Linked DNA regions of Daphnia pulex. The protein of the gene in region 1 purifies or fractionates together with the protein of each later gene. This does not show direct contact. Links are inferred from orthologs where the notes say so. Each region holds a gene or a part of one and is shown on either strand. Other genes may lie near its edges.

What was found. The genes of interacting proteins can lie anywhere in the genome.
Region 2: the proteins of syntaxin-5-like (region 1) and Golgi SNAP receptor complex member 1-like purify together in Homo sapiens (affinity purification with western blotting; 3 studies listed by BioGRID, with this or other methods). This does not show direct contact. The link is inferred for Daphnia pulex from reciprocal best matches to the Homo sapiens genes STX5 and GOSR1.
Region 3: the proteins of syntaxin-5-like (region 1) and synaptobrevin homolog YKT6-like purify together in Homo sapiens (affinity purification with mass spectrometry; 3 studies listed by BioGRID and IntAct, with this or other methods). This does not show direct contact. The link is inferred for Daphnia pulex from reciprocal best matches to the Homo sapiens genes STX5 and YKT6.

The regions. Positions count from the first base shown.
Region 1 is NC_060017.1:4,341,391-4,345,324, forward strand, and holds syntaxin-5-like, read left to right. Parts: upstream 1-1,415; 5' UTR 1,416-1,569; coding exon 1,570-2,012; intron 2,013-2,078; coding exon 2,079-2,134; intron 2,135-2,203; coding exon 2,204-2,445; intron 2,446-2,532; coding exon 2,533-2,903; intron 2,904-2,971; coding exon 2,972-3,131; 3' UTR 3,132-3,369; downstream 3,370-3,934. Other genes in the region: proteoglycan 4-like, read left to right, coding at 273-650. UniProt on the Homo sapiens protein: Mediates endoplasmic reticulum to Golgi transport.
Region 2 is NC_060027.1:385,327-388,359, forward strand, and holds Golgi SNAP receptor complex member 1-like, read left to right. Parts: upstream 1-1,166; 5' UTR 1,167-1,281; coding exon 1,282-1,309; intron 1,310-1,374; coding exon 1,375-1,483; intron 1,484-1,545; coding exon 1,546-1,621; intron 1,622-1,681; coding exon 1,682-1,872; intron 1,873-1,931; coding exon 1,932-2,003; intron 2,004-2,060; coding exon 2,061-2,298; 3' UTR 2,299-2,396; downstream 2,397-3,033. Other genes in the region: uncharacterized protein LOC124207221, read right to left, coding at 1-68, 145-322, 395-522, 587-922; protein MTO1 homolog, mitochondrial-like, read right to left, coding at 2,404-2,505, 2,570-2,630, 2,694-2,924, 3,000-3,033. UniProt on the Homo sapiens protein: Involved in transport from the ER to the Golgi apparatus as well as in intra-Golgi transport. It belongs to a super-family of proteins called t-SNAREs or soluble NSF (N-ethylmaleimide-sensitive factor) attachment protein receptor.
Region 3 is NC_060026.1:12,911,349-12,914,708, reverse strand, and holds synaptobrevin homolog YKT6-like, read left to right. Parts: upstream 1-1,327; 5' UTR 1,328-1,551; coding exon 1,552-1,744; intron 1,745-1,813; coding exon 1,814-1,914; intron 1,915-1,973; coding exon 1,974-2,144; intron 2,145-2,212; coding exon 2,213-2,350; 3' UTR 2,351-2,723; downstream 2,724-3,360. Other genes in the region: UBX domain-containing protein 1-B-like, read right to left, coding at 1-48, 110-598, 662-859, 948-1,000; Golgi apparatus protein 1-like, read left to right, coding at 3,027-3,248, 3,326-3,360. UniProt on the Homo sapiens protein: Vesicular soluble NSF attachment protein receptor (v-SNARE) mediating vesicle docking and fusion to a specific acceptor cellular compartment. Functions in endoplasmic reticulum to Golgi transport; as part of a SNARE complex composed of GOSR1, GOSR2 and STX5.

The DNA of each region.
Region 1 (3,934 bases):
TTACTTTGTATCTGTTACACCTGTATTATATTTAGACATAGGCCGTAGAATCAATTTAAATGGAATTCATTTGGGATGTAGTGCAGCGATTTATTGAAATAGTATTTCATGTATTCTATTTCCTGAATGATTTTTAAAAATTCGTATTTAAAGCCTTGCCTCTAAGCTACCAAGCGGCCAAAAGCACGGCGAAAGTGATTTTACCAATAACAAATTATGACTGTGTATACTCTTTGATAAATATTTAATGAAAATGCGTTTGATTTCAATAGGTGAAGATTTTTATTGTGGTAGCCATCATTTCGCTGGCTAATTCCCAGCAGAGTGCTTCAAAAACAACGCCCAAAACTGTTAAACAGGTATCGACGACGGCTAAGCCCATGGCTGGTGCTGCTACGACTGTTAAGCGTTCATCGACAACGGTTAAGCGCGCAGGAACAACAGCTAAACCGAGAACAACTACTGTCAAGCGGGCAGGAACAACAGCTAAACCGAGAACCACTACTGTTAGGCGTGGACCTGCACCCACAACTGCCAAGCGCGCATCTACAACACCTAGACCTAGGACCACTACTGTCAAGCGCGCACCTACAACTGCTAAGCGCGCGTCCACTACGGTTAAGCGCACAGCCACGACCAAGAAAGTTTAAATGATTCAATTCCGGCCATCATTTTCTTTGTTGTTTCTTCAATCTTTACATATCTATAGGCCCACAGTTAAACATTCCATCGTTGTTTCGAATATGAGCAGGCCGTCTCTTTCTGAGTAATACGACTCAATTTGCTATTCTTATTTAATTGGCAGTGATATTTAGTAAATATAATATGCAGAAATCGTTTGTTATCAATATTATTTCATTTACGATTTTATTTCCGTACAACCAAATACTATTTGCTTGTGTTTTATAGGGATTTGAAGATTTACGTAAGCTTTGGCAATCAAGCGTAAATCTTGAGACGGTTGTTAAAAATTTTTGGAAAGGAAATAAAATAAAATTAACAGAAATGCTTTACAAATTTATATGTAAAAAAAAATGTTTGGGAACTTCTGTGTTCAACAGTAGAATTACACATGAGTACACTTTTCTAAGTGTGCATTATAATATTGTTTTGGTCTTCCCTCGCTAGCAATGAAAACGGCTTTTCCTAAATAAAAAAAAATAAATTGAGATGAAAACATAATTTTGATTGGTATGACGCGGGAACGATGGAGAACCTAGTACGTAAGTCATACTTCTCTTAGGAGGAATTTGCGACATTTAAAGCAAACCAACATTGTAGAAAGATAAAGTCTATACATAGTAATTAATAATAGTAATTGATAAAGCTGGATAAAGGTTAAAATAAAATGATAAATATTGAACTTTATACAGTAGATAATTAACGTTGGCAACGTTGGGAATTACGGCTAATGTTTGGTATTTTTTCGTCTGCACACACTCTGCAGACAACCCTTAATATGACGTGGCATTCGGTATAGTTTCTTGTCGCAAAATATCTGGCGTTCCCGATTATTTGGATTTCAAAGACGAAAACGGATGAATTTTTCGAGAGATAAATTTTTGACGGATGATTACTCGAAGACGCCGGCAAGGCTCTGAATCGGAGCATCAGCCGCTTGCTGAAACCCAACTGCAAAACCAAGTCCTGAAAGGCTCTTCATCCGTTTTACTGTGGTCGGGAGAAAGTCCTCAACAGCAGCCATCCTTTTTCATTGTTCCGCAGGGTGAAATAGGTGCATTTGTTGCACCAAATTATTCAACAGATAAATTTGTAGATGTTCAAGCAAAAACCAACAGCGCTGACATGATGGCCCTAGCATCTAATTCGAGTTCATCAGTTCTGTCTTCCACCAATGCTTCTTCACGTGATCGGACTGCAGAGTTTCTCTCTGCAGTCAGAAGCTTCCAGAGTAGGCCAGTTAACGGAGTAGTTGGGAGGCCGAGTCAATCACATCCATCTAAGAATACAGATCAACATCAACAGTACTCTGAATTCATGAAAGTGGCAAAGTAAGTTGTCGACTTTTAAGAAAATATTTGCAACTATTGAAAATATTCAAATTTTTTTCTGTACAGAGTTATTAGTAAGGATTTGAGCAACACATATGCAAAACTGGAAAAACTAACTCTATGTAATTAGCTTTGTTTTTAATTTCTACTGTTCAACCAATCATTTCATGGTTTCACATTTATGCTTGCAGTGGCGAAAAAACGAACGCTATTTGATGATCGTCCTCAAGAGATCCAAGAACTGACTTACATCATCCGTGAAGATATCACAAATCTGAACAAACAGATTGCTCATCTGCAAGGATTCATGAAAAAGCAACAGAATCAACAACAAAATACCAAGGCCCATTCAGCAAATGTCGTTGTAGCTCTTCAGTCGAAGCTAGCCAATATGTCTTCTGAATTCAAACAAGTCCTTGAAGTCCGCACTGAGGTACACGCCTTTCCTAGTTTAAAAAATAACTACTAGATTTTATTATCTAGGATATTCAGTAAAATGAATGTTTTGAAAATATTTTAGAATCTTAAAGCCCAGAGAAGCCGTCGAGAACAGTTTTCTGGCTCCGTCCCAGTCGTTTCTGATTTACCGGCTGCAGCCTTGACAGGAGGACCGTTTGGATCCTCTCAAAATGGTTCTAAAGGATCTGTTCTACTCCGTGATGCTGCCTATCAAGCCCATGGAGGAGAAGCAGTAGCTATCGACATGGGTGCCGCTGACAACAGAACCAACAGGAATCAAATTCAGCAGCAAGTGTTTGCCGACGAAACAGAATCTTACCTGCAAAGTCGTTCTGACGCAGTCCAAAGTATAGAATCCACTATCGTGGAGTTGGGCGGAATTTTCCAGCAACTGGCTCTCATGGTTCGCGAACAAGAAGAAATGGTTCAGCGGTAATAATATTAATTATTTTAGAATATGTTATAACAAAGAATTTATGGAAATATTTTTCTTCGTGTAGGATTGACTCGAATGTCGACGATGCCCAACTTAATGTGGAAGCCGCTCATGACGAACTCTTGCGTTACTTTCGTTCCGTCTCTTCTAATAGGTGGCTGATGCTAAAAGTCTTTGGGGTTGTCCTTGTGTTTGTTGTAATATTCGCCATCTTTTTTGCTTGAAAATTATCTAAAGTACGATTTCCAATTCATTTACCAATACAATTTTCGATCCTAATGAATTTAAAACTCACGGTTCGTTTCTCCATTGTGCTTGATTAACGAATGTAGATGTGCCCTCTGACGAAAATGTTGCCCAGCAGACTTCTGGTGATTTTCATGATGAAGTTATAAACTGTGATGTATTAAGAATAAAATTCAATAGTAAAATATCAGAAGAATAAATAAATTCTAATCTATATTTGACATCTTCAATATTATAGCTAGCCAGCTAGTATTTTTTTAAATTGCATTCCAATTCCATTCATTTCCGTCAGCTGTATTTTGAAAGGTTGTTTAGAATCACCCTCTGATCTAAAAAAATACCGCAACAATTTTCCCAAAGTTTAGTACTAGCCCGCAGTTCTGAATCTTCGAGTGTGTGCTCTCTTACTCCGAAGAGGGGCGTCCCTAAACTGCGAAAGCGAAACGCGAAACGCGAAACGCCTAAAATGCGAAACAGCTGTGCGAAACGGACCCAAAAGTTGAGACCCTGTTTCGCATTTTAGTCTTTGGGTCCGTACTAAACTGCGAAATCGGTGTGTGCGAAACGTCGCAGTGTAAACGTCTTGGTAGCAGACGACAATGGACGCCGTCAACAAACAAATTGTTAAGAGTTTCAAATTTTCGAGTTTCGCGCACCTTATGGCTGGTCTATTTGTGTGTTGACCATGAATACGAAATACCTTGAATGCAATATGTAATAGGTGTTTTAATTAGAAGATTGGTATAAAAAAATTAATGGAACTTCTCGTTTCCATACTGTA
Region 2 (3,033 bases), on another chromosome or scaffold:
ACGCCCTCAGCTGCTCGGTTGAAGTCTTCTACACCTTGACGAACGTGTTGGACGTCTTTCGGGAAAGCCTGGAGATGAGAGATAGAAAGGGAGAGAGAGATGATCAATCGCTTTTCCTGGGCAGGTGTAGCGAGTGAATAATACCTGGGTCGGGCTGTACACGGAAGCAGCATTAAAGATGGGTCCCAAATCGGCATTGTTGCTGCTATTGCCAGAACGCTTATTGCTTGTGGCTCGCGTGGGGGTATACGTGCCAGGTTTGCCGTACAAATTCTGATGATTTCGCTGACGTCGACTCGATGGTGTCTCAATGCCAAAAGGGCTGTTGAATAGTTAGAAACACTGCAATTAGTTTTTAAATTCTTGAATGATTTCAAACTACATTTTAAAAAACCTGTATAGTTTAGTTGGAGTTCGTCCCAACAACTGTTTTGATCTTGGAGTGTCTTTTCCTCTTCCTGGTGTGTATGGAGAACTATTCACTAGCCTTTGTCGACGTCTAGCTGGATTATTCTTGAGTTTCTGTAGATAAATAAACATGATATGAATCTACTAAATTATACACAAGAAGAGTTGTGCTTCAAACCTGGGACCAAGTTCCAAAAGTGTTGCGAACATCATTGAATGTTTGGTTGACTTTCTCAGCACCAGCTTGGATGAGTTTACGAGTTTCCTTGGGCACATTAGCTACATTGAGATTGCTGATGGAGGAAAGTACTCCTCTGCTACGTAATAATCTCCTTTGGGGCTGTGGTTGTTCTTGTTCCGTCGTAGCATCGGAGACACTTTTGAACTGTCTAGACAATTGACGTCTACTCCCACTGCCATTGACACCCAACGTATGAGTAATCTCTTCAGTTGCACCGTCTGACCTTGAAGTCTTATTCCAAATCTGTGACAAACTCTTCAAACTTGATGCCATTTTAACAAAACTTGTTTTTGGGTTAACGTGAAAAATGCGTGCTCTGGAACACAGGCTTGTCAAAACGGTTATTTCATTTCAAACCCTTTTGTAAGTACACCGTTGTCAAATGGTGTTGAATCAATTCCCGTAATACGTCGTCGTAAACTGACAGGAGCAGACCTACATAAATATCCAAAACTAGTTATTGTTGGCAGTTTTTACGTGTTATTTCGTCGTTCTAGTTCAAGATATCTGTTATCCTCAGTTTTATTTATGTTTTCTTCTTCGTGAACTTCGTTGCTTGTAAAATCCCATCAAATTACAGTACGTAAAACGGAATCAGGCTGGAGACAACGGAGACAGTCAACGTCATCAATATGACAAGAGGAACCTATTCTTGGGAAGGTAAATATACTAGTTTAAAGTCATGGGACTGGTTTTTCAAATAATATGTCCTCTATTTGATACAGATTTGCGGAAGCAAGCCCGACAGCTAGAAAATGAAATTGATGCAAAATTGGTCAGTTTCAGTAAATTAGGGTTAGGATCCACCCCTTTCAACAATTCTAAATCCAATGGGTAGCCTAATAGTGTTACGAAATAGTGCAACACTTTTACATCATTTCCGTTTCGATTTGCAGAGAATCAGCTCATCTGCTTGGAGAAAATTTTGCCTTTGAATCAGGGTCAAGTGAAATTCAACAGCTTCTTAGCAAGGTAACTTTGGGGTCAACCATGACTCACACAAAAATGCATAGCCTACTTGTATTTTTCCAGCTCACCGATGTTAACTCCCAAATGACTGAAGTGTCTGCCTCTCAAGCCCCAAGTGCAGCTTTGCAACACACTCTCCAGCGTCACCGTGACATTTTGCAGGACTACACCACTGAATTCCAGAAGACGTCATCTCACTTGCAGTCCAAAAAGGAAAGGGAAGACTTACTTGGAAGTGTTAGAAGAGACATAGAGTAAGAAATTCTAACTGTTACTTTTTTACCTATACAATTTCTTTATCTTACAATTGCAGTGCCTACAAAAATGACAGTGGTAGAAATAGGCGCACTGATCTTTATCTGAAGGAAAATGAGCACCTGAGGAGGTATTTAATTAAAGATAAACTTATTGTTACATTGGCTTGATTCTGTGTTTAATCTAGTTCTGAGAGGATGGTGGACGATCAGATCAATATTGCCATCGAAACCAAAGAACACATAGCAAATCAACGTAGCAACTTGAAGCGAATGCAAGCTCGCGTCAACGACTTGGCTTCCCGTTTTCCTGTAATCAATAGCGTAGTTCAGCGCATCAATTTCCGCAAGAGGAGAGATGCCATCATCTTAGGAAGCGTGATTGGTTTTGGTTGCATTCTATTGCTCCTCTATTCTCAGCGTTAAAAAATAACTTTCAAAACTTCTATATTTTATACTGTGATGGCTCTTCCCGCTCTTTACTATTTCCTTAAAGGTTCATTACAAAGAATTTTCAGTCATTATCCTTGATCAAGAGTTTGTTACCGCCAAACGTTTTCTTCGATTAAGGTACTGTAATATTGTAAGAATGGCAGATGGTGTAACGCCAGAAATCCGAGAAGCTGCACCAATCTACAAGCCAAAATGTTAGGAAAGATTAGGTTAGATTTCAAGATTTACTTATTTTATTCCTTACCGTTTGCGGCCGTGCTTCATTTAGTTTGTTTCGTTCTTCGTTTGACAAAGACATGGAACTCCTATACAAAAATATGTTTTTAGAACGCAAACTGAATTAGAACAAATGGCAATCATTTTCGTACTCTAAGTAATCAATGTCGTCTGGGATGGCGAGGGCTTCCTCCGCACGGATTTGTACGGCATCTCCTTCTTGATCATCAATCGCATTCGAGTACAATGATTCGATCTGAAGTCTCTTGCACAGTAGTGGGTCAGATACTAGATGACTAAGTCGTCCGTCAGCCAGAATTGAATCTAAAAGTGCCACCGTAATTCCGTCCTGCTGCCACGGTAAGGCCAGAAGTTCAAATGCGCTAAAATATGAAGCAAGTCACGAAATGTTGCGATTAGAAATTTAAAAAAAAAAGCTGATTGATAATTTGAAGTACTTTCTATGAGTTGACGTTTTTGTAGCAGGGAGAG
Region 3 (3,360 bases), on another chromosome or scaffold:
TGCTCCTTAGCACCAAATGTTTGCGTCATTGTCGATCCATTTGGAAGTCTGGAAGAAATAATAAAGAGTTATGGAAGAGGGACTTGCGTCATCCAGAATGATTTATAACCTTATTTGGATTTTCGTCTCCTTATAGTCCTTGGGCTGATTGGGTGTTGTCGGTGCCGGAGCCGGAGCCTGAACTGGAGGAGCTACATATGGCGTATTGGTTGCGTCACCGGCTTTCTGTTTTCGTGCCAATTTATCTTGTTCAATTTGTTCTTTCACTCGCTGTCTGGCTTTTTTCTCTTCTTCTTTTTCGCGCCTCCGTTCTTCGGCAATCTTTCTTATTTCATCCTCTTCGAATTTCTTTTTTATATTGAGAAGCTCCTTGCCTGACTGTATTCTTCTTTTTTCTTGCTCCAGTTGTTCGGCCTTTTCTTTCTCTTCACGTTCTTTGCGCTTCAACTTCATCAACTCCTCCACTTTCCTCAGTTGTTCCTTCTTTTCTTCTTCAGTGAGAGGCTTCTTTTCATCAGTAGATTCTGAAAACTGGCTGTGACCGGTTTTCGCAGCATGAAATTCTACCTCTTCATTTGTGCGAAATAGTCTATTACATCTAGAGGAAATTTTAAAAAACATATGTAAGAAATTCAATGGTTGACTTGAGTTCCATACTTACTCATCACATTTAATAGATTTGGCAGTAACAGCAGCCATTTCAGCATTTGATGCTTCAGGTTGAGCAGCAGCATTTGGTTCTTCCTCTTTCATTTCTTGATTGTTGTCAGTTTGTTGATTGAATTTCTCACTGTTCACAATCAACCAATCCATTGCAGCTTCAATATTTTGGTCTCCAGTTTCTTTAATAGCCTTTTCACTTTTCAAATTTCAAAGAAATATAACAAAATATTAAGTTGCCATTTAAAAAATATAAAAGGTATGAATTATTTGGAATTAAAACTTACGCTAACTGTTCAGAAAATCCCATTTCTAGTAACAGTTGAAGATTTGATGACATTTTCGGTATTTCGTTCTTCGAAAAACAACAGAACAGAGGTATGTCGTCCGACTAGCGCTAGCAATGTCAGTATGTTATTAAAAAAGTGACGATGAAGCCTCTTCTGTTGGTGTGATTTTGCCCCAAAGATTTTTGTAAAATTTTGTGTTTTTTGTATTGAAATTTACATTGAAACCAAATGTTTTATTTCTCAAATTATTATTAATTCTACTAAAAAAGTGTTTACTTTCTTGCAATTAACTATAATTCAATTTAGCAATCTGATTAGCGCCAAATTAGCGCGGGGAAACAGCTTATTTTACGTTTATCCGCTAGAGGCGGTGTATTCCGATGCAACAAATGGGTTCTTCGGCCATTCCCGTTGTTTTATTGAACTTTTTCTCTTGTTGGTTGTCACTTTTTGCAGACTTCTATCGGATCGGATTTAACCGCTTCTGAGGAAAAACTCAAGCCGTCCACTTGAACCTTTAGTACTAATTAACAAAGGCCTCTCCACTTATCAGTAAGACGATTGTTGGAGGATCTTATATTTACTAGTCAAATCTAGAAAAATGGTGAAGCTGTATTCTTTAGCGATTTTACATCGCAGCGAGCAAGGGTCACCACAGCTACTTAGAGCGGCTTACGACCTCTCAAGTTTTGGATTTTTTCAACGAAGCAGCGTTCAAGAATTTATGGCTTTCACTGCCAAGATCTTGACTGAAAGGACAAGTGCTGCGTCCAGACAATCGGTGAAACAAGGAGGTATGTATGCAAAGAGTCATCATAAAACTCAATGTACATTATAAATTAAATGTTATTTCTTTATTGCAGAGTATATGTGTCACATTTATGTGAGAGCAGATGGACTCTGCTGTGTTTTGACGGCAGATCATGAATACCCACAGAGGGTTGCTCATACCTTGTTAACCAAAGTGAGTGCTACTTGTATGTTGGTTGAATTGAAATGATGAGATATTCTTAATTACAAAAGGTGCTTGATGATTTTGCTGCTCGGGTGGAATCATCTCTTTGGATAGAAGCAAATGCTGCCTGTGCAGCTTATTCTGGATTAGAAGCATCTTTGGCAAAATATCAAAATCCCAGAGAAGCAGATGCTCTAACTAAAGTTCAAGATGAACTAGATGAGACTAAGATTATTTTGGTAATTTAAGTCTTAAAGTTTCAATCTGTTTTAATTTTTTTTTAACCAGTCATGTTTGATTGTCATAGCATAACACAATTGAAGCTGTATTGCAAAGGGGTGAAAAACTGGATGACCTTGTATCAAAATCTCAAGGACTGAGTGATGCATCAAAAATGTTCTATAAAACAGCTAGAAAAACAAATTCATGTTGCAATTTTGGATAAGTTCTCAAGAAATGTTTATTTGATCACATTCTTGGAATGGTACTATTACTTTATTTTTTGAAGATGGTCATAATTCACATTCCTGAATGAGTTGAAATTGAAAGACATATGGTACAGTTATAAATTCATTTTTAATTTTTGAAGGGTGCCCAATAATTGCTGTGAACTTTTCTGTCCCACTCTGTTCCCGTTATGCGACAGCACTCATTTTCTGTTTCTCATAAATGTATCATATCGTAAATGATTGTGACGCTAATGTTAGGTATTTCGCTGACGTTGCATGGATTGTCGTCTCTATGATTTCATTTCACAGCTTACATCTGTGCCGCAGGTCCATCGATGTAAAAGAAATAAATTCTTCTTAATCAATTTATCAATTTGTCGCGTTCGTGGTTTATATAGTTTTGTTGCTCAAACCGATTCAAACGTAAACCGCTGAGAAGATTTTTTTTAAGCGGTACTTGAACAAGGTGGTTGCAGAAACCTATAAGGTTCTTGGGCAACAGATGAGAGATGATAGCGAAAGCGGAACAAACAGTAGACTGTGTGACGCGGCTGACGTCTGCTGTGGTCCCTGAATATGTTCATTCTGACCAAGTGTGGGATGTGACTGTTCTCTAATTCAATCTTAAAAATAAATTTCAAATCAACTGATAAGTAGTGACTGGAATAGAAGATGTTATTCCAAGGTGTTAGTTTTCTATTAGTGACCTTAACAACTTTTATTTCGGTTGGAGCTTTGGATGTCACCGGAAAAATTGCTACGAACCCGGTTTGTAAAGACGACGTGACACGTCTTTGCAGCTCTCAAATTCTTCCAAATGATTTGGCTGTTCTTGACTGCCTTCAAAACAGGAGAAGTGATAGTGATTCTGATATCAAAATAGAATGTCATTCTGTATGTTTCTTTTTTATTTTATTAAAGTACTCATTTCAGAATTAAAGGTTACATTTTTAATTTTTTTCTTTTTATAGTTCCTTTGGCAGTTCAAACTAAATCTAACTAAAGG